4 linked regions of the Saccharomyces cerevisiae S288C genome follow. The gene in region 2 interacts genetically with the main gene of each other region. Each region holds a gene or a part of one and is shown on either strand. Other genes may lie near its edges. The genes, in order: ATC1, CNA1, YKL069W and VCX1.

Evidence for each region.
Region 1: of CNA1 (region 2) and ATC1, extra expression of one rescues a mutant of the other (dosage rescue), as found in Saccharomyces cerevisiae (one study listed by BioGRID).
Region 3: mutations in CNA1 (region 2) and YKL069W together harm fitness more than expected from each alone (negative genetic interaction), as found in Saccharomyces cerevisiae (2 studies listed by BioGRID).
Region 4: of CNA1 (region 2) and VCX1, extra expression of one rescues a mutant of the other (dosage rescue), as found in Saccharomyces cerevisiae (one study listed by BioGRID).

Annotation. Positions count from the first base shown.
Region 1 is NC_001136.10:827,833-836,130, forward strand, and holds ATC1 (Atc1p), read right to left. Parts: upstream 3,682-8,298; coding exon 2,797-3,681; downstream 1-2,796. Other genes in the region: putative lipid phosphatase CDC1, read left to right, coding at 1-1,225; YDR182W-A (uncharacterized protein), read left to right, coding at 1,319-1,522; PLP1 (Plp1p), read left to right, coding at 1,753-2,445; UPS3 (Ups3p), read right to left, coding at 4,102-4,641; SND1 (Snd1p), read right to left, coding at 5,027-7,660. UniProt on the Saccharomyces cerevisiae protein: Involved in cation homeostasis and in the regulation of the cation stress signaling cascades. Also involved in bipolar budding.
Region 2 is NC_001144.5:1,003,847-1,007,690, forward strand, and holds CNA1 (calcineurin catalytic subunit A), read right to left. Parts: upstream 2,163-3,844; coding exon 501-2,162; downstream 1-500. Other genes in the region: IMP dehydrogenase IMD3, read left to right, coding at 1-282; TSR2 (Tsr2p), read left to right, coding at 2,532-3,149; ECM30 (Ecm30p), read right to left, coding at 3,575-3,844. UniProt on the Saccharomyces cerevisiae protein: Calcium-dependent, calmodulin-stimulated protein phosphatase. This subunit may have a role in the calmodulin activation of calcineurin.
Region 3 is NC_001143.9:302,869-310,879, reverse strand, and holds YKL069W (L-methionine (R)-S-oxide reductase), read right to left. Parts: upstream 3,596-8,011; coding exon 3,053-3,595; downstream 1-3,052. Other genes in the region: FG-nucleoporin NUP100, read right to left, coding at 1-681; YKL068W-A (uncharacterized protein), read right to left, coding at 1,438-1,674; YKL070W (uncharacterized protein), read right to left, coding at 4,160-4,669; OSI1 (Osi1p), read right to left, coding at 4,996-5,766. UniProt on the Saccharomyces cerevisiae protein: Catalyzes the reversible oxidation-reduction of the R-enantiomer of free methionine sulfoxide to methionine. Does not act on S-enantiomer of free methionine sulfoxide or R-enantiomer of dabsylated methionine sulfoxide.
Region 4 is NC_001136.10:227,799-236,598, reverse strand, and holds VCX1 (Vcx1p), read right to left. Parts: upstream 3,948-8,800; coding exon 2,712-3,947; downstream 1-2,711. Other genes in the region: AAA family ATPase CDC48, read left to right, coding at 1-442; cyclin PCL2, read right to left, coding at 746-1,672; YDL129W (uncharacterized protein), read right to left, coding at 4,700-5,575; ribosomal protein P1 RPP1B, read right to left, coding at 6,072-6,278, 6,580-6,693; STF1 (ATPase-binding protein), read right to left, coding at 7,168-7,428; homocitrate synthase LYS21, read right to left, coding at 7,884-8,800.

The sequences.
Region 1 (8,298 bases), on a different chromosome or scaffold from region 2:
CGCTGAAAGTCATAGGGTGGGTTTATTTGCAGACCCACAAATAATGGACGAATATTCATATCCTGGGAGGCCTCAAATAGTTAATTATTTTACAAGAGTGATTGTTGACCATTATCACAGGAGAAATTGGAAATATGTCCAGTATTACTTGGATCCTGATAGCAATTTTTTCCTAGGTGATCTATTTGATGGAGGGAGAAACTGGGATGATAAGCAATGGATTAAAGAGTACACACGATTCAACCAAATATTCCCCAAGAAGCCACTGAGAAGAACGGTCATGTCTTTACCAGGTAATCACGATATTGGTTTTGGAGACACAGTTGTTGAATCGAGTTTACAGAGATTTTCTAGTTACTTTGGAGAAACTTCCTCCTCATTAGACGCTGGAAATCATACCTTTGTACTTTTAGATACAATTTCGCTTTCTGATAAAACAAATCCGAATGTCTCGAGGGTTCCTAGACAGTTTTTGGATAATTTTGCAATGGGTTCACATCCGCTTCCTAGAATTCTTTTAACTCACGTTCCATTATGGAGGGATCCAGAACAGCAAACGTGCGGTCAGCTACGTGAATCCAAAGAACCTTTTCCTATTCAGAAAGGGCACCAGTACCAGACAGTTATAGAAAACGATATATCACAAGAAATTTTAACGAAAATTCAACCAGAAATATTATTTTCCGGGGATGATCATGACCATTGTCAGATATCACACTCATATCCGTTTCAGGGGAAAACTAAAAATGCTCAAGAAATTACAGTAAAGTCATGTGCAATGAACATGGGGATCAGTAGGCCTGCTATTCAATTGCTCTCCTTATATAATCCTTCAGATTTGACAATGGTAAATGCCGGCGGAGAGTATGCATCAAAAACTTACCAAACAGAGCTATGCTATATGCCAGATCCCTATAAGGCAATCAGAATGTACCTATGGGGATTATTATTCTCTGCTGCCTTTATCGCATACATGCATTTTTTCCCAAAATCTTTTAATAATCGCGTAGCAACCATAATGAACAGAGTATTTACACGACCTGATGGTAACACCTCAGATTTGCCATTACCTACAAGTATTTCCAAATCGAAATCCAAAAAATCATTGACACATAGTAAATACGCTGTGAATGATACGCGTTCGATCAAACAATTTCTAGTTAATGCAATTGTCCTTTTTGTTTCTGTGATGCCCATTTTTATTTATTTTTATACTGTAGTCTAGACAGAATTACTGCTATTCTCTTCCAGGATCAAAATGCTTTGAAGGGAAACGTCTGGCTATTTAATATATGCGAATACACCTTATATACAGACAATGAACAAGAGATATAAATTATACCGGGTGTGGTATTACTATGCTCACCAAACAGTTTGCATAACCTCTACTGGATTTGCATTATGTTTTGTGGTCCAAGCTAAAACTGCAGGACTGGGCGTAACACCAATTACTTCACTATACGGGGACAAAAAAGAACACCTAGGTAAGTTGTTGGTTCCTTTAGTTTTATATCAAATTTAGCAAGTCATGACGGCAAATTTCTTTGTAAGCTTTGTTTAAAAGATGGATACAAAAGGACGACTTTCCTTTCAATCTTTCGTTTTTGCTTTTTATTATTCCATAGCAATATAGTGATCATAGTAGTGTAATTTTTAGAGTTTAAAAAACACGAAAGTAGGATGAAGTACAAAAGATTAACGAAAATACTCCATTCTCTTAACAACTCATACGTATATGAAGATTAAATTAATATGGAAGATAAATTAGACAGATACTACACAAATGTGCTTTCAAATGCTGAAAAGGATAAACACACAACTGTCGATAGCGATGACAAAAGTAGTGGCGAGGAAAATTTAGATGAACTACTTAATGAATTGGATAGAGAATTAGACGAGGATCATGAATTTTTGAGTGCTTATCGGTCGGAGAGGCTACAACAAATATCAGATCATTTAAAACAGGTCAAGAAGAATGTTGAGGATGACGGATACGGTAGATTGCAGTGCATTGATAACGAGGCAGATGCTATCCAAATATGTACAAAGACTACTATGGTGGTCATACATTTTGAATTAGAAACATTCGGTAAGTGCCAGTATATGAATGAAAAACTGGAAAACTTGGCAAAGAGGTATCTAACCACGAGATTTATTAAAGTAAACGTCCAAACATGTCCATTTTTGGTTAATAAACTGAATATTAAAGTACTTCCGTTTGTAGTTGGATACAAGAATGGCCTAGAAAAAGTTCGCTACGTAGGATTTAGTAAACTGGGAAATGACCCTAATGGGTTTGATATTAGGAGGCTAGAGCAATCTTTAGCCCATTCAGGTGTTATAGAAGACACATTCGAAATAAGAAAGCATTCATCTGTGAATACGGAACGCTTCGCTTCTACAAATCATGATAGAAGTGAAAGTGATAGTGATTTAGATATATAACTAAATAACCATTACCTCCCTACTAAAAATGACTCGATGGTCTTTTAAGCCATACGCATGAGCGAAAATGGTTCCTCCTGTTCAAACTAAATCGGTTATTCGAGCGTACCGTTGAAAATTTAATAAAACGTTTTGGGGGATTTATAGAAAGTTAAATACGAAATATGCGTATAGTAATGTTTATACATGAAACTCAAAAATGCGACTGTGTTCCTTAAAATAATAAAAGTTGAGTACGAATAACGATGACTGAGAAAGGTAGTGTATATTGTATATAAAATTGGACCATCTTTGTAGTAAAGACAAAAAAACCAATAAATGCAGATAAACTTAGCAGAACTAACTCTAAATTTAACTTTCCTTGGATGATTTTTCATTGAGTTTTTGAGTAAGTTCTAGGATTTGTTGCTTCAAGTCATCATTCTCAACCAATAAATGTGCTCTGTGAATTTCACTATCCTTTAAAGAGTCCATAGATTTTTTCAATTGAATACAAGATCTCGCGTAACCTTCTTTAATAAAATTGAAATTGAGCAGCAATTTATGAGTATTAATTATTCTTGCCTTCATTTCCGAAATTTGACTTATTGTAAACTCATTTGTGAACTTAGCAGGCTTCGTTGCAGATACAATGTCTTGTCTTGCAGAATCTATTTTAGATGTTATATCAGTAATCATGGATTCTATTTTTAGGTGGGATTCATTAGCGTCGGATGAAGCTAACGAAGATGAAGGTGATAGGGATGCAGGGGATAACATGGGTTCATTTGTGGTTTTCAAAAGGGATTTTTTCTTCTTGATGGTGGGTTTATCTATCTTATAGTTCTTTTGTTCTTTATCAGGTTTATGTACGTTATTTTGGTTTGTACTTTTATCTAATGATGCCTTGCCAGTATAACCCTTTTTATGCCTATCGAGATCAATACCAACTAGGCTATCATTAGCACTTCTCTGCATTTCCAAAAGTGTGCTCGAATCGGTGTTGTGTTCATCGTTAAATAAAGATTCCAATGTTAGGTGTTTCTGAGAAGCGATGTCGGAATCAAAAATATCAGTGCAGTCTAAATTATCCATCATAACTTGTTCGAGATCCTTTCCCAAATCTAAACTCTGCCCATCAATCTTTACTGTATCATCAAAATGATTATTTGCCTGAGTGAGCAGCCGATGCAACGTATGTTCTATATTGGCATCATCTGTTAAATCTGTATTCGGATTGGACTGATTCGTGTTCATTATCTTCACGTTTTCCCTATCACAACCTTAGTGTAACTTGAACCAACAAAATTTAAGATGTCAAAACTTCAATCAAGTATTGAGCTCTTCAATAGGGCACTAGCCCTCTGAAATTTTTCATTGAAAATACCGTACCGCATGTTTTTTGGAAATTTTTCATCTCATCGCTAAAGTGGAAAAAAAAAATTCTAGAAACTGAAAAAAAAGAGAAAAAAAAATGACAGAAAATATTTGATTTATATCAAGATGACACGAGTTTGCAAAAAGAGAAAGACACGCTATAGAAACTATTTTGGCAAATTAATCTATTCACTTATTTTTGAGTTTCTGAGTGTAGTTATATGCAAAGAGGCTATAAATCCTTATTTTTTTGAGAAAAAATGCTTGAGAAAAAATGCTTGAGAAAAGATGTATTTTTTTTTATTCGTTAGCATTTTTCCAGATATCGTTGAACATTGCTAGAATACTATCAAACCCGACTTTCCCCTTCACCGCGTTATCACTAAAACGTTTAACGCCCCAGTTTTCTACTTTCTCACTAAAGGTTTTGGTCGGAACACCAGACAGAAACTTTGCATCCTGCTTGAAAAGAGTCACATTCGATGGATTTTTCGGATGAGGAACATAACGTACGGTTTCGTAACACTTCAAAATATGCGGGAAGGTCATATTGCAACTCCTCATAGTTAAAGATCTGTCCCTTCGATCAACGGTGGAGACCTCTCGCACGTATGCTAAATTAGTGTTCCCCACTAAAATGGACATCCAGTGAGGGGTGTTCTGACGTATGGTTATCAGCCGTTCTGTAAGAAGTACATCGCCATGTTCTTTGAGCTCTCGGCGGAGCACATCGACTGCAATAACGTGTGTGGAGATCTTGTTTGGATATTTCATCCAGTTCGCCGTGGTGACTTTCTCCCATGGGTAATCGAATTCATAAGATTTTTGAAATGATTTCATTATTAATATATAAGCTCGAGAGATATATGACTAATAGAAATATTTACTTGAACTTGTCGATTAGAGAAAAGAAAATGCGTTGCTTGGACCGCAGATCCCACTTATTGTTTTCTTGCCAAATGTAACAAGATCTATAGGTTTATGAACTTTCTTCGAAAATCTCATTACTTTTTTTGATAAATAAACGGGCCCCTTGCGGACAAAGCCCTGAAAATTGAAGATTTACGCAGTATCACGTAAACCCAAAAAAAAAAATACAATATCGGTTAAAGTGCTGTTTTAATTTAGAATATATGTTTTACTAATCTATTTATAATCAAGTATATGTGTAATTTGGCTTTTTCCCTTGCCTTGTGCTTAACCTAGTTTTTTTCAGGTGATTATTTTACCGGGCATTACCTCCTAATACCCATCCTCCCATGTTATCCATATCATCTTCGCCGTATAAATCCAGGGTGACGGCTTTTTTATAAACGGGTTTGGTGACTGTAGAATTCGAGTTTGAGTATTTCACTCCTTCAGTTGTTACATCTGTAAAGCCTGCACTATCATTGTCATCATAGAGATTTAGATTGAAATTATTGGAATTTATACCAGTATTATTGTCGTTATCATTATCATTATAGTTATCATTGTCTGGGTGATTCGGTACTATTGTGCTATTAGTCGAATCGTTATCGTCCTCGCGTTCTTTGGGGAGAGATCCAGACATGATTTGGTCTTCTTCCTCGAGATTTAGTAACCTATGACTGGAATTGTTACTATTTTTAATGCTATTCGCCATCAACGCATCTGTAGGCGTTCTGGACTTGAAGTTTAGTGCCAAACCATTCTTTTCCATGTTACCATTCATCAAGGTGCTAAAAAGGTTAACTGATGGTTGTCTTCTCAGTTCTTCAAATGACTTGTTGATCAAATTCTTCTCAAATAGCAAGTTACTGTTTGAATTATTTCTCATTAGTAATGGAGATGCCTGTTGTGTATGTTGTGGAATTGGTGAATTCAAGAATTTTTGCTTCTTACTTGTGTCATTTAATAATTTGGAAAATGCGTTTGATACTGTAGACATGTCATTCAACGAGGAGTTTGAACTACTTGCGCTTGTAGAGGGCGTAGATATTCGGGAAATAAATTCCGGAGGTATCAATCCATTACTAATAGAAGGAGCCAAGTTTCTGTTCATCAAAGATTTCCTTTTAATAAGCGTTGCAGACGATAGATTCTTTTTGTTGTTGATAGTGTCTGTCCCGTCAAAATCACCATCGTGCACGTAGACGTTAGTAAAATGGTTTGAAGAGGTCGATCTTTTAGGTGATGAAGCCCCTGCAGAATCGGGTTGTTGGCTGTTTGGAAATTTCTGGTTGAACGGCTTTTGCAGAGCAGGGTCCATTAAACTCAAGGACCTAAACCTACCCCTTGTTTCCTTCGAATTTTTTGCCATAGAATCTATTCCGGAGGATAACACGTCTGTGCTCGAACCAGAGCGGGACAAAATGCTTGGAGCGTAAAAGCTCAAACCTTCATCGTCACTCTCATCGTCATCGTCATCATCGTCATCATCGTCTTCATCATCATCATAGTTGTCTTCATTTCCACCTTCTTCATCATCGTAATTAAAGCCATATTCATCTGCGTATGAGGTTCTATCCTGCTCTTGTTCCCCTCGTTCTTTTGTATAATCGTCATAATTATTATTGTTGTACAGGACAATTTCCTCATTCTTAGCACGGTCTTGCACTTCGTTGATTTGGTTGTTTAACTCGTCATATACTAGTTCGTCGTTTGATGGTGTCTTTCCGTAGGGGAAGGGAGAAGGCGATCTGGACATATTAGAACTAGAATAGGATTGTGAACGGGAATGTGGATGCAGATGCGATTGTAAATGCAGTGCAGTTCCCGAAGGCTGCTTGCGTAGGTTGGATTCCTGACCAATAAGATTGTTGATTGACGTTGATGGGATAGTTGTGATGGATTCGTTCGTTTTGAACATATGTGCCCTGTTGGATTTTCTGTTGATAGACAACGACCTAATTCTGACGGACTTGTCTTTATTGGAGGTTAAAACCGAGTTTTGAAAATTCAACAACGACGAAGAGTTTCTTTTCAAACTTGTGTTGCTCTGGTCGTCGCCCTTATCTTCGTTAACAGCATCTGAATATTCATGTAGCGCTTTTATTGATTCCTGGGAGATAAGGCTGGTGAGAGGGTGGTCTGACAACAAAGTCAGCAGTGCTTTTACCCCCGTGCTATTCGTGACAATAACTATGGAATCCAAGACAGTCTGGTCTTGCATGCTACCATTGCTCTGGTTTGAGCCGGTGAATTTCTCGTTCAACTTGGTGTAGTACTCTTTGAACGGGAGTGACTTGGAGTTCTGGATTGTCTTAGTGAAAGAACCAATATTCTGCCAATTAATGATTTTTAAATTAAGCAGTTCTGCGTTCAGGAAAGTAGAAAACCACTTGAGAGAGGTGGGAGAAACGTTGATCTGGAAACATAGGTTTAGTTTCTTTTGAACATACAAGTCTTTGAAAGAATTAAACAATTTTTCAACCAAAAATCTTATGGTCTCCACGTAACGTAAAGACCCCGAAGACGACACCAGTACATTCAGATCAAACTTGTTTTCCGGTGTGCTGCGAGAGCTGATCAGACTTTTCAACTCCTCCCAAAACTTATCGTTATCTTCCGCAGTAGATGTGTTGGAAAAACTTTGCGCGATCGAATTTCTAAGCCGATGCAGCTTAAACCGTTTATTCAGTCTGGAAAGCTTGTTATGAGTCATCTCATCGTTGTAGTAGTCGATCGTAGGGATATCTATGTAAAGTAGGATGTTAAGCTTCTTTAGCGAAGGGTACCGGTCCGCCAAAGACGCTTGTACCACTGTCTGCTGCATGTTGGAGTAAGTGATCAGAAACAGCGAGTCCTGTGACTTCACACTAACTTTTGGTGAAGTGGACTGGGCAAAGCGACGCTCATTAATGCTCGCGGCTGCTGCGTCCGTACCGACAGTGTCCATCGTAGTGTAGGCTTCCCAAAATTTAGGATGTGATTAGTAATAGTGGTTGATTGCGAGCTCCGGGATGCGAGGGAGAGCGTGTATGTGTACTTCAAGTTCGCCAACTTCTCTCTTAAATAGAAAAAGAAAAGAAGAAAAAGGAAACGAAAAAAAAAAAAAGTAGGGAAAAGCTGAGTGATGAAGATCCGGGCTGCCAAGATTGGGTTTGAAACGTGTAGTCAGCTACAAACCAAAAATTAAAAGAACAATAGCAAAGAACCTTAGTAGGAAAACAATAAAATAATAGACACGACACCCGTAGAAAGATAGAACGGGACGAGGGGCCGGTTCAACAACTATCATACTTTCTTGTTCAACAACGCGATTAACCCAAATAATAAAAAAGCTACGAGACAAGAACAGACGAGGCAATACGAGCAACGAGCGCAACGAGAACGGTAAGCATGGCAACGGCGCGCACACCCACGCCCCGCAACCGCACACCTCAGCTCAAAGTAACCCACTTTAACGTGACTGGACCTGAGCTGTCTGACTCGGTCGTTTGCAAATAGGTTAACGCCGTCGCTTCTCCCTTTCGTGTACCGTATATCTTTCTTTAATTGCATTCCCTTGTTGTGATTATCGTTTCCCATTGCAGT
Region 2 (3,844 bases):
GGTAATGCATCTACCTCCCGTTACTTTTCCGAATCAGACAGTGTTTTGGTCGCACAAGGTGTCTCCGGTGCTGTCGTTGACAAAGGTTCTATCAAGAAATTTATTCCATATTTGTACAACGGTTTACAACATTCTTGTCAAGACATTGGTTACAAGTCCCTAACTTTATTAAAGGAAAATGTCCAAAGCGGTAAAGTTAGATTTGAATTTAGAACCGCTTCTGCTCAACTAGAAGGTGGTGTTCATAACTTACATTCTTACGAAAAGCGTTTACATAACTAATTGGTAACTAGGGTTCATTAATAATAAAATAAAACTAAAAAATATGTGTTTATATTTATTCTGCTCGCAGTTAAGTATGGAAATCAAGAAATAGACTGGAAATGATCTATATTTTCTTCGTATTTTGTTAGTTCATATTATCTCTTGCGGATCGTGACAGTAGCACAAGAATTCGATGTTGCATCTCATAGGAATAAAAAAGAATAAAATGAGATTTATCACAGTTGTGGCTTTTTCTCCGCTCCCTTTAATATTTTTTCGTAGTATTTAATCTTCTCTTGTTCAACCTCCGATAAAGATGGTGGTAATTTTTCATTAATAAGGTCTTCCTTTCTAGCCTTTTCAAAAGTGCTTAGCGTTTCATTCAAACCTTCAGTCCCACGAGCTAGAGCACCACGAGGTAAGACACCGGCATTCATAGTTTTCAAATATTCCACTTTTTCGCTCTCTTCTCTTAGCACCGAAAACATTCTTGAAACTTTAGCAATAGCTAATATCTTATTTCTCAAAGCCTTTCTTCGGGTTTCATCTTCTAATATCGCTGATGACGCCTTTTCATCAGATGGGGTGCCGGTCTCCTTAGTTGCGTTTGCTCTTGCCTTTACAGTCTCCTCCGCAGCTTTGGGTTCCGATTCTGGGTCAAGTTCCTGCTCACTACATATGTTTAATATAGACACTAACATGCTAGTAACTTTTTCGCCAACAAAAGGTAGTGACCAGGTGAAAACATCCATAAAATCAGGCAACCAGTAAGGGTGCGGAGACATGTGAAACTGCCTGATGTTCATGACGTTTTCTTCATATTTTAACACAGCAGCTTTATTATGATATGTGTCCAGGTAGTTTGGCGCACTGAACATGGTTATTAAGCTCGGGAAGCCTGTTACTTTATTGTTTTTATACATTCTGTACCCAGCATCCTGTGCTTCGTGTGCTCTAATAATAGATAACAAACCATTTGCCTTCAAAAACTTGCATGATGCTTTAAAAGTGAAGGCGAAAGAGCAACCCCTCAAACTGTTAGGTACGAATTCATCCTCGCTCTGATCAAATTCGCTACCATCTCTTGCATCATCATAATTTTCGACAGGATCGGCCCATAGTAGGTCACACATGAGACCACGAGATGGGATTTCTCGAAATCTATTAATTTTATTAACATCCTCTACTGATTTTAACTCTGGAGAGATACCACCATGCACACAAAAATATTGTCCGTTCATTAAAGCTGCTAATGGTAAGACATTGAATGATCTGCAGCAAGCATCGTAAACTTCCATATCGTATTTGTGCAACATCTCATTCTTAAAAGTAAAATAAGAGGTCAAGTGCTTACACTCATGGTTACCTCTTAGCATCCAAAATCTCCCTAAATTATTCAACTTCAAGGAGTACAAATAAATCAGACACTCAAAAGAGAATGCACCTCTATCAACATAATCCCCCAAGAATAAATAGTCGATTTCGGCGGGGTCACCGCCAACTTCAAACAGTTTCAATAAATCATAATACTGCCCGTGAATATCACCACATATAGTAATTGGCGCTTTGAGTTTTAGTAGATTGGGTTCTTTACTCAATGCTACAGTTGACATATTTAAGATTTTTATGGCCTGTTCCTTAGAAAGTCGACCCTCATGAAAGAAATGCTCTCTTAAAAAGGAATGATTAGGTAATCCCGTCTTGGAGTCGAATACTTCCTCATCACTTGGTATCTTTCCTGTTATGGCAGGTACAGAAGCGATAGGTCGGTCCTTAGTAGAAATTACTTTACCGTTTTCTAATTCGTATTTTGTTAAATCTTTTTTCCGGTCAACCTTTATGTAAGAGTCATTAGGTTTAATGATTTTGATGCGTGAAGAATTCAAGTCTTTCGACATTGGCGTTGAGAGTGTTTTATGGCAGCTGAGCTAATACGTCAAAAAAAAAAGAATCTAAAAAAACTTTTCTTTGAATAATACCTTTAATAAAGCAAATATTAAAGGCTTTGCTTCGTTCTTTTATAATAATGCCTCTTGATTCAAAAACATTAAAGGATTTATACATTTTTCCCTTTTGTTTCCCAGTAGTACGTTCTTTTTCAGAATTGGAAAATTCATGTTTCAAGAGGCGATGACATGAAAAATTTTGAAATAGATATAGATGAATATCAAAATGATTCAAACAGTTTGTATTTATTGCAACAGGAAGAAAGGTGGAGTCCAAAGAAATCTGCGAAAAATTTTTATAGTGATAATCCTTACGGAACAATGAGCACACAATATATTGATGAGACAGCATTTGTTCAGGCTGAGCAAGGTAAAACCAATCTAATGTTCTCTGACGAAAAGCAACAGGCACGTTTTGAGCTCGGTGTTTCCATGGTTATTTATAAGTGGGATGCGTTGGATGTTGCCGTAGAAAACAGTTGGGGTGGTCCAGACTCAGCTGAGAAGAGAGACTGGATTACAGGGATTGTAGTAGACCTTTTCAAAAATGAAAAAGTTGTTGACGCCGCTTTAATCGAAGAAACGTTACTTTATGCAATGATAGATGAATTTGAAACTAATGTTGAAGACGACTCGGCTTTACCGATTGCCGTGGAGGTCATCAACATATATAACGACTGTTTCAATTTAAATTATAATAAGGTAGAAAAATTGTATTTGGAATGGCAAGAAAAGCAGAGAACTAAAAAATCAAAAAGAGTTGTGCATATTGAGGGTGATGATGATGAAGACGATGAAGATGTAGAGGACTATGATGACGAAGATGAAGATGAAGAGATGGACGAGGTTGTACCTGACTTAGTATCGTCTAAACCTGAACCAATTGTTGACGAAGACGGTTTTGAATTGGTTCAACCAAAAGGAAGAAGAAAGCACTAGTATCTTCAAAATCTGTATATTATAATTGATAGTGCGCTGCTTTTTTGCACTTCCAGTAAGAAATAGCAACAAAATTAGATAAATCTCGGTGGAGTTATCCAAAATATGTAATATATATCAAGAAAGTTACGTATTAAACATTGGACTTCTAGAGGAGATCTTCAATATAGATTTAAAAGGTGGGCAATGCATCGCTACGTGAAGATTTTTACTTTTCTTCAACATGTGTATTTTTTATGTTTCATATTTTTATATTTTGTGTTTGCTAAGGTCTAATCGTTCAGCTAAGTTAAAGCTAAGTATAAGAAGCAAAAAATACTAAATTATACTAAATTATAAATTTTCGTACATAAATAATCATGAGGTAGATGTTTAAATATGTAAATAGTTTCTTTTTTCTTCTTTGTGATTGTCAAAATTTGTGTCTATCTATACAACCCTCTAGAGGTATATCTTAACTGTGTATTATCATCAAATTCGTTATTATTATAATTGTCATTATCGCTATTAATGAATTTAAATTTCTTGAAAAAAGAAGATGTCATTTCCAGAAATGAAAAAGATTCTTTTCTGAAGTTTGCGATCTTAAATAGTCGGATGTCGGTTCCAACCCAAATGTTATTTTCAATTATGTTGTTTACAACGCCGGGACTAATTTCTTCTTCAAACATATAACTATTCAAATTATCTGTAAT
Region 3 (8,011 bases), on a different chromosome or scaffold from region 2:
TTGAGATTGCTGTCCAAATAGACTTCCTTGTTGATTATTTGTCCCAAACGCTGAAGATTGTTGGTTGCCAAACAAGCTGCCGGTAGTATTGCTTTGTGAGTTGTTCCCTGCCCCAAATATGTTAGAGCCGTTGCCATTTAAGCCTGTTCCGAAACTACTTCCGGTGTTTCCGAATGTGCCAGTGGTACTTGTACTTTGGCCGCCAAATAAACTAGAAGTACCTGCACTATTATTATTCTGCGAACCAAACAAGGTCCCTCCTGTATTCGGTTTATTGAAACCAAACGGGGAATTGGTACTGTTACTGTTATTATTAAATGCATTATTGGTATTACCACCAAAAGAACCCATTGAACTGGATCCTCCAAAAGTGTTCCCATTACTGGCATTTGAGGAGTTTAACGACCCAAATGGTGAGTTTTGGGTGGCACCCATTGACTGGCCAAATGCCCCATTATTTTGAGTATTGTTATTTCCAAATAAACTGTTACTATTACTGCCAGCGGCAGAAGTGAATCCACCAAATCCTGATTGGGCATTGTTACTGGTGGAATTGTTGTTGTTATTGCTATTTCCAAAAAGAGAGTTTGGTTGTTGCGATTGTTGCCCACCGAAGGATGACGTATTTGATCCAAAGGAAAGGTTGCTCCCTCCAAACATTGGTCTATTGTTGCCAAACATTGTTAGTACCTGAAAAAATTCAATGTACTAATAGTCCGGAATCAAAGCTAAAATATTTTGGTTAACAAAGACTGTTCTACGATATGTTATTTTCTTCTCCTCTTCAGGTCCAAAAGCGGTGGTCATTTGTAGATGACTTCAGCATAAATATGCTTTTTTTTTTCATGCTTTTTTTCTTCGCTTACGGCAAATATTTAAGGTGTCACGGTGATTGCAAGATGGGTAACACTTTCCGTTCTAACTAAGCATCAGAACATAATACAATCTAATCTTTGTCTAATAATCGACCAAAGAAATTTCCTAATGCTAAATGTTTTACTTTGAGAACGTTCTTGGAGAAGTCTCATTCCGATGTGCGGTTAACCTCTACTCCTATCAGGATAATGCTGCCCTTACTTGCAATAAACAGGTAGAAAAATACTAAAATACTGCAAATGTTTTCCATTAAAAGTTATTCTACACAATAGCTATTAAATTTGTGGTAAAGAGGTGAAAAAAAAAAAAACCTCTATAGCTTAATAAACTAAAAATTCGTACTATGCATAAGTAATCAAAACATGCATCTACACAAAAAAAATTGAAAAATCTATAAAAACACCTTCCTAAAAAATGAATATCGCCAATATCTATAACAAAAAGTCTCACCGGTATACAAGGATTGTTCAGAACAGCTAGCCAAACTTTAACAACCTCCAGCATTGACAATTAAAAATGTGAAAATAAAACAGCTAAACGAAATTACCGCCAAAATTGGTCTCACAGTTTACCAAATTTTTCCGTCATAGCACTCATTTGAGTCCAATATTTTAACTTAACGGGAGTTAAAGATCCTGTGTTGAGGTCTACCATCAGGTCTTCATCTTCTATTTCTTCCTGAGTTTGACTTAAAGCTTTTTGAAAACTTCCTTGCTTTTGTGTTTGAGAAAAGAGCCCATTTGACCTCTTTGAAGTACTTGATTCGTAAAGGTAACTGACGGAATGGTTTGCCTGCATTGTAGTTGATGATATATAATGTCGTTGATTTATGAGTTACTAGATGGCTACCATTAAGTCTCACTTGAAAATTCGCGGGAGCTGAGAGATGCAAGCATGTAACATTAGGTTCTGTAGTTATATATGATTGTTTCTTCCATTGCCTACATCAGAATCGAACTGTTCTAGGGCCTCACAGTCGAAACAAAAGTTTAGCGTTGTTTCGAGAAATGGCCGCACGAATGGCGATAGATGTCGAAATGCCACACTTTTAATTTTCTCGTTGCGTTTTTTTTTCTTTTTTGCCCTTAGCAGAGGGCAAAAAAGTGACAGAGGAGCCACAACTGCGGCCCGCGTGAACAAAAAACCCCATGATCTTTCTCAATTTTTTATTCGCATGCGACTCCTACATACACGGGACCTGCAAGGTGGTGCGGTGCAGCCACACGGAAGACTATTGTATACATATGTGATTGAAAATGCTTCTTTCCTTGAAAAGAAATAAAGGGATGCTACCTCTTCCTGTGGCACACCTTTCCTTGGACTTTGTATTGAGTAAGGATCCAGACACCTTTAGTGGCGAGCTTGATAATCCAGGTAACACAATATCGCCAATGATTTTTATCAAGTAAGACTATCGCATCCAGAAGATTATTAGTTTAATGTTGTTCGATAAGGCCTATTTTTAGGCTCTTTTTTCAACATTTCCAATCGTCATGTGAAAACTGTACAAGCCACTTAATTTCTCAAAGACCTCGCCACAGAGAAAAGCTCATATCTGTGGCATCACTTACTGCTTCTATGCATTGATAAATCTAGCTAGAATTTTCACCGATATCATGCAAGTAAATGATAGAAAATCATCACAGTTACGCATCAAACACATTTTGAACGTTCCTTTCTTCTTTACGGCAAAGTAAGCATGCCTTTAGCGAGACTGGGGTGAGCTGAAGAAGAACTTGCTGCACTATAGATATGACTTTAGATGTCCGTTATTCAACAATTAAGTGGTTTCGTGGTCTAGTCGGTTATGGCATCTGCTTAACACGCAGAACGTCCCCAGTTCGATCCTGGGCGAAATCAATTTTTTTTTCCGTCAGATATCTCCGTCATTTTCGTTGACGTTTTTTTCTTACCAAGCAAAGATATTTTTAATAAATGCTGAATATCCTTTGTTTGAGGGTAAACATGCCATAAATTTGCAATAAGGGTTACAAATAAAGATTGAGAGCTGTCAATTTGGCGAACAGGGAATGTTTTCTTCACCAATGATCTCCTGAAGCCCCTCAATCTTTCTTGATGTTTATCTCTATTCGTGCCCGTCCGACAATATATTTGACAAGAGAGCTACATGGGAATATTGGTTATGTGCGTAAATACTTGTTCGTTCTCAAAACTCTTATTTAAAGACACATGATTTATTAATTAATTTAGCAAGTTTTTCTAGGAATTCTTTGTCTACGTGGTCGAATCCTTCGTAATCCAAACAATCTATGTCTATGACGCCCAATGTCTTACCATCATTGGATATGATTGGAACAACAATTTCGCTCTTGGTTTCACCGTCGCACGCAATATGACCGGGATACTTGTTGACATCTGGAACAATCTGCGTTTCCTTTGTAGAGGCTGCAGTTCCGCAAACACCTTTACCGAATTGAATCATTTGGCAAGCGACCTTTCCTTGAAATGGGCCCAATATCAGTGTGTTTTCTTCGCTAGCTTGAGTAACGTAAAATCCAGCCCAATTGATATCAACAGCTAATGACTTGTACGCATGCCAGATCAATGACGAAGCGTTTGACAAATTACAAACCCAATTGACTTGTCCATCTGATAGCCCCTCGTATGAAAGCAGAAGCTGTTCTAGAATTTCTTCCTTATTCAGATTTGAAGAATAGTTAACATGATCGGCATGATGAAACCCGGTTGATGAGCCCATATCTGTTTGTTTTTTTTTGTTTTTTTTTCTAATTTACGGATTTGTTTTATCAGCAAACGCCTTTGTTTGCTTACATTTGGGAAAATCGTCATCATATAAACATGAAGAAACCGATGATATTAGCGTTCGTTAAAAAGGATAATACTTCGTTGTAAACTCAACTGTAAATATCTTTCTTCATTTCCTCCAAACATGGTTTTCTAACTGCAGGGAATAGGTAAACCTTTGCGTTTGTGTTCTTTCTGCATCACGGTGGGCCTTGCCCTCTGTTAAGTCAATATTAAAAGATAAGATAAGAAAAGAATGAAAACGAATAAATAATTATTGATATTTAATGCGCAGAGAAAATACAAAACTTATAAGCTACCTGGATAGTTATCTTTTACAAGGCGAGCCATTTCTTGGCCTCTTTCTCCACCAAATTCTTTGAATTTTCAACATATGCCTTCAACATTAATCTGTGATTTATTTTGGTCGAATTTGAACTTTGATTGAATATGGGTAATACTGATTTCAAGCCCGACAATGTTTTGAAGCATAGCATTGATATAATAATCTGGGGCATCAGAAACGCTCCACTTTACTTCGTACATTTTCCCCCTCAGGTCTTTTCTCTTCTTCTTGGTCAGTCAAAGTTGATAACATATTAATAAGCCAGTCTTTATCGTCGCGGATAATCCTTGGTGTACCGTAAACGTGCACAGCGGCAAAATCCCATGTTGGTACGAACTTATGGGTCTTTTTCTTCATTGGGAACCACGCCGGAGAAATGTATGAATCGACGCTCTGAAATACCACTAAGCATTTTTGAACTCTTTCCAGCATTTCCACATGTTTATTCTTCCGTGCTAAATGTGCAATAAGTTTATGCTCTCCATTATCGAACTCCACGAATACAAATGGAATATGTGATGCGCACATACCAAAATCGGGGTCATCTTTATTGGAAGAAGTTCTCCATCCGAAGAAACCTTGCCTGCTAGCCTTAGAGGAGAATAGTGTTCCTAGCGGGGGTTTTTTTGATAATTTGTACCTTGAGAGTTCCATGGACTCAAAATGTTTAGGAATGTACATTATGAAATAGATTCTTGGATTCTTCTCAGACTGGCAATTTATGTCTATAATATTAAGGGATGGTTTTCGGCGAATATGCAGAATCTTCGGTTCTAGGACCAGTTATATACCATCCTAATTAAAATCAGAGGACATAATAGAGATAGTTTCAAATCTGGTTAAGCGTTAAAAGATCAGCATACAAAGTGATGCCACAAAATACCTTCTTAAAGGGGCGTGAGGCAAAAGCAAAGTCACATCATATAGCACCTACCAATAAAAAAGTGTATTACACAAAGGTATATTCCGTATCTGAGTTGTATATAAGTAGCCAAATTTGCACTTATCTAAAAGACGCCTTCGCTGCCGTCATAGTTGAAGAACTTTCCATTATCTTCTGGTAAAATTTTTCGGAAGACATCAATTAGCGCAGAGGCACTTTCTTCTGGTGTGATAATATTTACGCCGCTGATGTCTATATTCTTCTCTTTAAAATGATCAAGGCCATATTGGCCCATATCAGTAGATACCATACCTGGGTGAAAAGCAACGACAGTAAAACCCTCCGGTTTCAATTCAAAACTGAGCGTCTTTACCGCATAATTCAAGGCAGCTTTCGATTGACCATAAGCGGAAACAGAAAGTGGTACAAACGCATTGATAGATCCTGCAACACTAGAGATAAAGAATATCTTCCTCGTCTTTTTCAAAAGAAGCAGTGGATAAACTTTTTGAAGGGCTAGTATCGGACCCAGAGCGTTTGTGCTATAATGGTTGAGCCAGACTGATTTGGGAGTTTCCAGGACCTTGTAATAAGAATCAGATACTGCAGAACATGCGATAAAAATATCAATACCCAAGAAGAATGGCGTTTTCTTGATCTCGTCCGCAATATTGCCAATACTTTCGTCCTTTGTAAGGTCAAGTTGGACAATATGGATATTCTTCCTGATTTTTGCTAAATCTTCCACTTGTTTGTTCTTGGGTAATGAAGGTGATCCACGAATAGAGGTTATAACTGTATTGCCCGTAGAAGCGCTTAAAATTTTGACCAAATTAAAACCAATTCCACGGCTACCACCGATGATAAAGTAAGTTATTCTTGATGAAGTATTCATATCGACTTTGTTTGCTTAGAATTCTACTGATTTATGCCACTGGTAAAGGCTTTATTCTTAAAAACGTCAAAAATTAGTTTTGAAGCATCGCCGCCTATTTATTATAACTGGTATACTATCTTACTTATTAGTACTACCATTTATACCGCTATGCATTACTAATCACATTACTAATCTCATTACTAATCTCATTACTAATCTCATTGCTAATCTCATTACTAATCTCATTACAAATAACTTTCTATTGAGGTATTTCTAGGGAATTGCGAAGTTGGTTTGCTTTTTATGAGACCCGCGGACGTTAATCGAAGATATAATCCACGGAAAAATTATATGTCCTGCAATTTGTGCACAGTATATTAATCGGGAACATATATGATTAGATTATTGCAAGTCATGCAAGCTAAAGTAAAACAAGCAATATCAGGAGCTCATAGATATATCATGCACACATCAGGTAGAAGATAGGAAATTATAGAAGATCTGAAGAAATTAGAAGAACTAAGCTCGACTAGCCTAATAGGAAAATGGTGTCCCTTATTTAACCTGAGAAACCAATATTTCGTAGTATCTTCTTTTTTTCTTCCATGGTAATGAGTCCAACAAACTTTGAGCTTCTAAAAAATATAAACTCCAAATGAACCTGATCAGGACAAATGTTCTCTAGGGTAGTTAGATACAAAACCTTTCGGATGAGGGATTTCTTATCCTAGCTATTTAATGAAGCAAAATAAAGCTGTTTCAAAAAGCTTAAGTGTTTGTACTTTTTTTTACCAGGTTAAAGAAACAGGAATAATTATTCGTAGAATTGCAAAATTTTTTATTGACGTACTTGTTTCTATTTTTTGAATAGTCAGTTCTTCGGAAGGCATTCAATAAGAGCCCAATATAAGGGTAAGGTGCACTTTTATACAAGCTGGCCAAAAAAACCGGGAAATGGCAAAAGTTCGAACTATTGTTTCATAGGTACTATTAAATCCTTTCATTTGGTAAAGAAAGGTGCTTGAATGACTTTGCAGACTATTTCTGTTTCCTACCGAATAAATTAGGTGCGCTTTAACGCGCAGTGATGTGTAGATCAATTGAAATGGGGAACTTGCTTATTGAATACAGGATTAAAGAGGAAATGGTACGGTACATTTTTGGATTTTGCCATAACTCACGATAAACTGTGGATGGCTGCATCAAAAGATGGAGAGTTGCTAGATGACCGTCACGTCTGCGTAGTCTCTTCACAACATGTTTTATTGACTTGGTTGATGCTATTGTAGTGATTAAAGAGAACGAGAGATAACGCAAATCAAAATTTTATGTTGTGACATTTGGAAATTGAAGGAATACTTATCTTCGAAAAGCCGGAGCAATGCTTTTACCTCGCTAGAAATAGCATGTCATGTAACATGGTAATGTTAGCTTTATAAATAACCGCGCTATTTAGTAGGCTACTACAATTAACTCCCAGACTTCAAATTAGTCAGAAATGTAATACAATGTTGTGTAACGTTAGTCATATGTTATAATTTGTATTCTCGCAGTAGAGGTAATTCACGATCTTAGGATTTGCGCATGTTTATGATCATAATGTCAAAATAAACTACGTAATGCGTAATTTTAAATAGTTCTTTTGCCCAAAGTAAATGCGCATTATTATAGCATTCGTTGATGTTTCCAGTATTATTGCGATAATACTGGGGCCTGTCCATGAAGTTTTAATAGCAAGTGGCTTAGCAAATATTCTAAAAATTGAGATGGTCACATAACGTGAAAACTCTAAATTCGCGGCAGGAAGTCGGTTCTTTATCCTATGTGATTCGATGTGGAGGCAATTACCTATCTATAATATATGAAAGTTGCTGTATACTTATATAAGCCATTTATAATATGCAAAAGGCGGTAACGATATGCCGCGCAAATCAAAATCCAGATTGAAACAAGAAATAATGATTAAGATATACTATCAGTAACACGACAAAGGTAAGGAAATTCCAGTAACTGAGGCTATTTCATCAACCTAAGTACATCATTTTCAAGAAAAGAAGAAATACTTTATTTAGAGTGTGGAGCGCTAAATGTATGGCAAAAAAAGAAAATGAAACGGACAGGAATTGAACCTGCAACCCTTCGATTGCAATCTTATTCCGTGGAATTTCCAAGATTTAATTGGAGTCGAAAGCTCTACCATTGAGCCACCGCTTCATCTTGGAATATTCACGTTTTAAAATAGGATAGATCACCTCAAACAATG
Region 4 (8,800 bases), on a different chromosome or scaffold from region 2:
TCAAGGTTTCTCTGGTGCTGATTTACTCTATATTGTGCAGAGGGCTGCTAAATACGCTATCAAGGATTCTATCGAAGCTCACAGACAACACGAAGCTGAAAAGGAAGTGAAAGTAGAAGGTGAAGACGTGGAAATGACAGATGAGGGAGCAAAGGCTGAACAAGAACCAGAAGTAGATCCTGTTCCATATATTACAAAGGAGCATTTCGCAGAAGCTATGAAGACCGCTAAACGTTCTGTTTCAGATGCTGAATTGCGTCGTTATGAAGCATACTCACAGCAAATGAAAGCATCTAGAGGTCAATTCAGTAATTTCAACTTTAATGACGCTCCATTAGGTACTACGGCTACGGACAATGCTAACAGTAATAATAGTGCTCCAAGTGGAGCAGGTGCTGCATTTGGTTCTAATGCGGAGGAAGATGATGATTTGTATAGTTAGTTATATGCCAGGTATATTTTTATTTTAAATCGTAAATTCAAGTCATTTCTATAAAAAAAATCGTCAATTTTAACTCAATATTTTATGGCCCTTTTTATATTTATTTTCAAATTTGTCAAAAAAAGGAGAGCTAAATCATTAGAAAAAGAATGCATTATGGTATATTTATGTATATTAATATGTAAAATAAGAAAAAAGGGAGGCTGTAGGACCTCGGTCGTAAGAACATTTACCTGTGTTCTTCCGCCTTTTCCGAAAGTGCCATGAAGAAACGCAGGCCAGGCATAATTTCGACATTTAAAATCACGATTTGAAGTAATTTGACCAATTCGATTTCTTTACTTTTGTATCTTCTTTTATTATCTGTTTGTTTAACCCAGTTTTCAAGATCACAGGGCGCGCTTTACTAAAATTAAAAGGCTTAATTGTCGGTATTGGCCTATTTTCCTTGTTATCGTGTTTGGAGTCTATGTTGTATGTTCGCGGAGAAAACTTGTCGCTAATGTTATTGGATTCGTGTAGTTCGGGCAAAGTTCGTATTCTGTTACTATAATTGGATAAATTCGATCTTCTAGATTCCAACGTGGAGAGGGTCGAAGTGGAAGCTAAAGATGGGATAGACATATTGGACGATGAGCGCGAATGGGAAATGGATGTTTTGTTTACTATGTCTTTTTCTTGAGCAGAAAAATTTTTCAACGTGCGACAGTCTCTTTGCGATTTGTACAACTGCTCCTCTTTGATAGGCTTCAAGAATGGCGAGAGACATGTAATTAAATCATCTGTGGAAATGGTGACGTCCCAATCAAAATATTCTAATAGTTCCCTTTCAATAGTATTAACCTCCCTTAGGATGAGAAGGCCGTCCGTATATTCGGCCCAGTGTTTGTTAAGAGGGGAGGAATCATTTAACGTTTTTGCAGCTAATATTAGGCAACCTAAGAATATTCTATGCCTGGTGGTCTCTATACCATAAACGTTACTCGGTATTATTGATCTTAATTTGGCCAAATATACAGAGGTAGCCATCAGAGTCGGAGTTTGAACGTTAGAATGCTTGATCAGTCTGTTGATGAATTTAGTCAACGGTGGTGCTGGCAATGCAATATCTATCATACTATTCGTCTTCTTAATTTTGATAATGGAAGCTGTGGTCGATGCTAGATATTGCACCATTTCCTTAGATACAGCCTTCCTATTGAATTTCAGCAAGGCTTCGTAGTTTGACATCTTTTGTAGTAAAAAGTTGCTGCCGTATTGAAATTGCTCTTGTCGGATCAGGTTGTTTAGCACCGGGTCTTACTTTTATAAAGGAGAATTATAAAGTGAAAGAAAGGAGAACTTATAAGACTAAAGAAAAAAACACTTAAGAAGCACTTAAACTTGCATTAGATGTGTAAATCGATCAACCTGTAACATGTTTGAGGAAGGTCTCACACGTCTCCGAAGTTACAGCTACCACTTAGCGTGTCTGCGGGAACAATAGATCTCTTCCCAATTTGCACTAAATAGGTAACTAGCCAGGCCTATAAAAATCTTCGAGCGGAGAATTGACCGTAGTATCTGCCAAAAAAATCCACCTGCACCAGCATTTTTCGTGTTACGCGAAGTCTACTTTTCGCGTCATCAAAAGACGCTATAAAAATATAGCTGGGCTAATTTTATTCTATAGCTGGCCATTTTTTTATGCGATATCTGCTGGTTTTTTACAGCTGGAATGCCGTGACAGATGTAACAAGAATGTGTTTCAGCTGGCATTCTCACTCAGAAATGTAAGGCTAAAATCCGCTAAAATAGGGCTTCGCGTCTCATGATCTATTCACATTTGTTTCTAATAAACTATACTACAAAACGAAATTCTGTTGTGCAATGATGTAGGAAGCTCCATGAATTTGAGCAAAATTCCTAAATATTCTCGTTGTAATGAATAACGTTACCCTGAACAGTGCAGCAAAGCAGCTGATGTGCTGCAAGAAGAACACGAGCTGTAGTTGAGAAGCTTCGAAATATTAAACCTTTTATCAGAATGGAAATGGTGCAGAATTTGAGTTTCGAAGAGTGTACAAAATATTTTGTTGGTTTTGAAAACTTTTTTTCAGATAAAATTCGATATAAAAATTAGTTGCGTAAACATAATATGTATAATATAACGATCATAATAATGACTTGCTAGTCATAATCATCTTTGTATTGGTCCATCGATAGAATTACGAAGAAGATAAAATATAAAAAAAAAGAGAATGGTGAATTTCTGCGCTACTGTTCTTACTCATAAACTATTTCCAATAGAGTCAAGGGTTTTTTCGTCTGGATAATAGAAAAATGCCATTGCAATCAAAATATACATAGCTAGAGACATGACACCCTCCAACCAGTTTGACTCACCATCGAGAATTAAGTAATTGGATAAGAAAACAGCAATAAAAAGAGTAGCGGTTTCAAAAGTGGAGAAATTTAGCGTCATTGGAACATCGATCATCCAGCCCACAAGAACCATGAATGGTGTAACAAATAAGGCAACTTGTAAAGAGGAACCGATGGCAACACCTAGCGCCAGATCCATCTTATCCTTCATGGCCACCAAGACTGAAGTGACATGCTCTGCGGCATTACCCACAATAGGAATGACAATCAAACCTATAAATGTTTTAGATAGCCCGGTAGATTCAACAACGTTGTCTATCGTACCGACTAGAAAATCCGCACAAAAAGAGATGATCACAGTTGTACCTAGAAGTATCACCAATGATGACTTGACACTCAAAGAGTGATGTGGATTCCTGGAAATGGTGCTCATAACTTCATCGGTCTCTTCTTCTTGTTGCTCAAACAAGGCGTGATGGCTCCCTAGCTGGAAATATAAGAACAAAACGTAAACGATGAGAATAACAATAGAGGTGCCTCTGGATAACTCCAATATTTTTCCATCGATGAAGTGGTCTTCCTTGCCATGAGGTAGGGTGGCTCTAAAGGCAGCGGGAATCAGTAGGGATGCACACGCAATGGCAAGTAATGAGGACATTGTTTGAGCGGCGGTTTGGTTGAATGTCTGTTGGACTCTATTGTATCCACCGAATATGAAGCATAATCCAAGCACTAACAGCAAATTAGAAAGAAGACTACCTAGCATCGAGGCCTGCACAATTCTCACTTGACCTTTTTTCAGGGCAATGATAGAAACAATTAGTTCCACAGCGTTACCAAAAGTAGCATTTAGCAGTCCCCCAATGGTGTTACCAGCCTTATCAGCCAACTCTTCCGTGGCATTAGCCAAGATAGCTGCCAACGGTATAATTGCCAAGAAATTAAAAAGAAATGTCAGTGTATGAGATAGTTGGAAGTGTCCCCAAATCAGACCTAAAGGAACAAATACCAATAGGAAATTCAGGGGTGACGCTTTCAAAATATACTGTAAATCATACACAGCTGCTCTCCATGCAGTGTGCTTTGGATTGCGGGCGGGATGACTGTTCGCAACAGTTAATAGTGGGGTAGTTGCATCCATTGTATCTATGTTGTTTTATTTGCTATCAGCAGCCGATGAATGATATGCGTCGAAGTCAACTATATATTTAGGACTGCTTTTTAAGTTTAGGAAAGAGGAAACTTCTTTTACTCTCTGAGGAGATAAAATAATGCTGGGCGATAGTAATTTCCATATTCTCGTGAGGGAAATTTTTATTTTTCGGGAATTTTGATCAAGCCGTCCAGTCCAGTTTACGAAAAAGGAACTACGTCAATTAGTTTACAAAACATTCCCGATTACGTATGTCATATTCATCGAAGTTCGTAAGTGAGGATGACAAGGGATTAACGTCGTAAGGAAAACAATCTAATTGAAAAAAAAAAACTATTAGATAAGTATATATAACATTAAATTAGAACTTAAATACTACAATATTGTTCTCTTGGCAAAAAACAAGAAGGAAAATAATTGTCCCTCTCCAAACTGATAGCTTCCATTGAGTTCAATAGGAGAAAAAAAAATCCAATTTTTTCACACTTTCGGAAAATTTCCCTTTTAAGTTGTACTAAAATTACAGACAGTTGGAGGCATTAGATTAAAGGTGTATGATAGAGGTTAAAAGTAAACATAAATTCGTAACTGAAGAATTGAAGGAGATATTTCTCTTTGGAGAATTTTAAAAGAGTAAACCAGAAATAAAGAGAATAGAATATTATTAGAGAATAAATGATGTGTTTGGTCCCATGAGAAAGAAAAATTATTGACGTTCAATAATATTTTTTTCTAGCATACTATTTTTTTCGTGATTTAGGTTCTTTTTTCTCCAAATGAAAAACTCTCACATATTCGTTTGTTGCTGGATTGTCACTCCTTCTTCTCATCCTTGGATGCGGTTTATTGTTCTCTACTAATTCCAATGTGTCAATTTTGGTATCTTCCTCAACTTTATCAGTACCCGTTGGGACTTTTTGGGGAGAAAGATTCAAAGACGGCCGGGAAGCAGGAAGAGGAAGTTTTGGAACTTTGGTTTTCCATGAGTTCGGCGATACACCTCCATATCCTCCTTCTAGCCTAGCGCCAGTGGATAATGGTCTTTGCGCTAGTCCTGGCAATGACAGTTTACGCTTTAAAGGTCGTTCAAGAAGTGGTCTCAACTCTGCGGAACTTGCACTTTCGTTGGTTTTTGGGGTCTTGTTTTTTAAAAATTCTACCTCTTTTTTCAACAAGTTTGTCTCAACTGCATACCTTCCCTCTGAGGTGGCCCTTAACTCCGATAGCTGGGCCTGTAACTTCCAGTGAGATGTGGATGCTAAAGACCTGTTAAGCACACTTAATATGAGATCTTTCTCACTAACTAACGTTTCATCATCCCCTTCCTTTATCCTCTGTATGAGATTGAGAATTGTGTTTTCTAGTTCTCTGGTGTTTTTCAAAGATGGCATGAAGTGACTAGTAAAATTGTAGTATTCATTGTCATCAACTTTCTTCGATGAATCTGTAGTAGCGGTATCAGAGTAAGCGGGACTAAATACACTTGTGTTCTCGCTCTTTGCTTCCCTCGTGCCGACCCTCTCATTGGATTCTATGCTCCGTTCACTCTTATTCTTGGCAGGTTCCTCAGGCGTGACAAGATAGGCCTCTGCGCTCCGTCTACTTCTTAGCTCCATAGCCAACAAAATGTTAAATTCCTGTATGCCGTAGCCTTGCCCGCGTTTCGTATCAAAAGGGATGAGAAACTAAAGTGCTCAAATTTTATACGTTTCTAGTGCCTTATAGGTGTATTGCTAAGCCTGTAAGGACCGACGTATGTCCAACTTAGGGAGCTTTACATGTGTCAAAGAACCTTTCATTCCCGATGAGTAAAAATTTTAAAAATGTGCGCGGGAGAAGCTTCGGTCGGCGTCGCCATCAAAGGGCGAGCAACCATGGGTTTATGTAATTTTTGGTTGCTATGGTGACGACAGGTCTGATATCCCGCAACCAGGGGCTATCCCGCAGTGCCATTTCTAGCAAAGAACGAGATGGTTAAATTCTCGTAGCCCTTTCGTATGGACATTACTTCCGATTTTTAAATACTGATTGATTAGAGGTTTATTTTATATGTAAATATATATACATAAAGGGTAAAAAAACGTTGCAGAAAAAATGACTTTCCTTGTATGTTTAGTCGAATAAACCGAAACCCATGTCGTCGTCAGATTCTTCAGCAGCTTCTTCTTCTTTTTCTTCTTCAGCAGCAGCGTCACCACCAGCAGCGGCAGCGCCAGAAGCAGCACCAGCACCAGCAACAGGGCCAGCGTTATGGAAACCAGATAGGATTTCCTTCAAGTCCTTACCTTCCAAAGCCTTAGCGTAAACATCAGCCCAGACCTAATTCAATGATACATATAACAAGCTCCATAGGAAGAGTCGTTATTCGTTGAGTTTGTTAGTAAAATGAGATCCTTGAAGAAGTAATTCGATCCTGACTTGTGCTTTCCGTTAAATACGTTAATGGAGAAATATTTCTACATGTATTGCCCCCTAGTATCTCATCATGTTAGAGGGAAACGTTACATGGAATTTTTCTGTCCCCCATTATTCAAAATTGCGCATTTCTCGGGACGATTGTTGTCTAATCTTTCTCTTCGTAGTCACACAAAGTCGTTTTAGGTTGCATTTTTGTACATACGTTGTCGACATTAGCACCAGCGGCCTTGGTGATAGTCAATAAGTTGTCAGAGGTGATTTCCAAACCAGCATCAGCTAGGATGAAAGCAGCAAAGGAAATAATAGAGTCAGACATTTTCTTCTTAGTTGTTTGATTTCTTTGTTAGTCCAAGATTAACTGAAACTGCAATTCGTAATTTAACCTTGAAATATCACGAAGGGGCTTACAGATTCAACATCAAATGCTTATTTGGTATTACATTGGAAACTAGTTTTAGCAACCGTTAGCCGGAAGTTTCAATTCTAAGATTTCTCCTTCGCGCGACACGCAGAAATGAAAATTTTATTTTTTTTTGCGTTTCATATAATCCTTCTGATGTACGGATGTTTTGTGTAAGATATGTATGGGTTTAAAGGAATATCTGAGGAGCAAACTGAGGCGACGTTTCTCTAACTGACGGTGTTCCTGTATTCGTGACGTATATACTATATATAATGTGCAGGCTTATAAAATACCACTGATGTTCATTTCCTAATTTTGATTTGGCATGATTGCTTCTTTCTACGTACAAAACGTGTCTGCAGAACCTTTAGCCTTAACAATGACCAATCACTTTGAAAGGTTATTAATTTTGTTTTCTAAATTCTCTAATTTTTTCTTGTGTTCTTTTAGTTGTTCCTTCACATGTGCTAATTGTTCCCTCTCTTGTTGTCTGGCATAATAATCCTCTTTGGCACGTTCTCTCTTGATAAAGATATCTTGAGGATTACCAGGTCCGGCACCACCGAGAGGACCATCTGAATAAAAGCGAGAGGCAATTCTTAGGTTTACTGGCAGCCTGGTATTACGGGAAATGCAACGGTTTAACATATTGATAGCGTGTTTGGTTGGATGACTGGGTGAAAGTGCTTCTTAATATCTACAATGGAGAGCTCAATTTTCTTATGAACGACTGAACTAAATATAATAAATAATTCCCCAGCCGCCCCCTAAAAGATAATAATGATGCTTGAAATAGTTAGCAAATAGAAACCGATCATTTGACGTATATAGTGATCATTATCATAACGGAAATACTCCGTGAGAGTATAATAGCGTGGGGAATCGCACAGAGTCAATATTCATTGATCTCAATTAATTGATTAAAATACCCCGTCTTCAAGCTAGATGCAACCGCCTCAATTGAACATCGGAGTAGGAGAAAAAGCTTATTGAATAAAGTTGACGTAAATAGTAATTTTATTACGGTAATCGCCAGTACTTAAACACCTAATAACGCCCAGTATGTGTATGTTTGAAATATGTGTACTATATATATAATGAAACTATTTGGTGACCTTTGCCTTTTTAGAAACATGCCCATTGGAAATATCGATATTGTCGTCATCTGTACCCTTATTTACTGGTTTTAAAAGTGGGGTGCTCAATTCTGCATGGAAGTCCTTGATAATGGAGTCTACATCATCAATATTTAGCGGTCTGACATCACCCAGCTTCTTAATCTTAGCAGTAACTTCCTTGATTTGATCATCCGTCAAATTCAAGTTCAATTGGTCGACTCTTGATTTGATTGCATTCCAACCAGTTAGTCTGTTGGCGAAGTGGATATATCTCTTCATACCGAAATCGTGAGGGTCCAAGATTTCGTAGGTAGATGGGTTAGCCAAAATGGCCTTGGCATGGATACCTGCTTTATGTGTGAATGCACAGAACCCGGTGATAGGGTTGTTGAATGGAATGTTAACTTCCACAGCATCAGCGACCAGGTTTTCGATGTCTCTGATCTTGTGCAGCTTGTATTTAGATCTGACATAGTCTGGTGCGGCAACAATCATTCTTGCCATGAGCCCACCTAGAGGAGTGATACCGTTTCTTTCACCAATACCCAGTACACTGACGTCAATCAATCTGGCACCACCTTCCAAAGCAGTGTAGGCGTTTGCAATGGCACAACCGGTATCATTGTGGAAATGGCATTCGATGTCACATGAGACAACACTCTTCAAAGTTCTGATCAGTTCATATACTTGTCTTGGGTTGGCACATCCAACTGTGTCGGCAATACCGACTCTATTTACACCGATCTTGTCAACGGTTTTATAAATGTTCAAAAGATCAACGAGATCACTTCTGAAGGAATCTTCAGAGGAAAATCTGATTTCAATACCTTTGGATTTGACAAATTCAATGACTTCAACAGCACTCTTGGCGATGTAGTTCATATCCTTACCGTGGGAATATT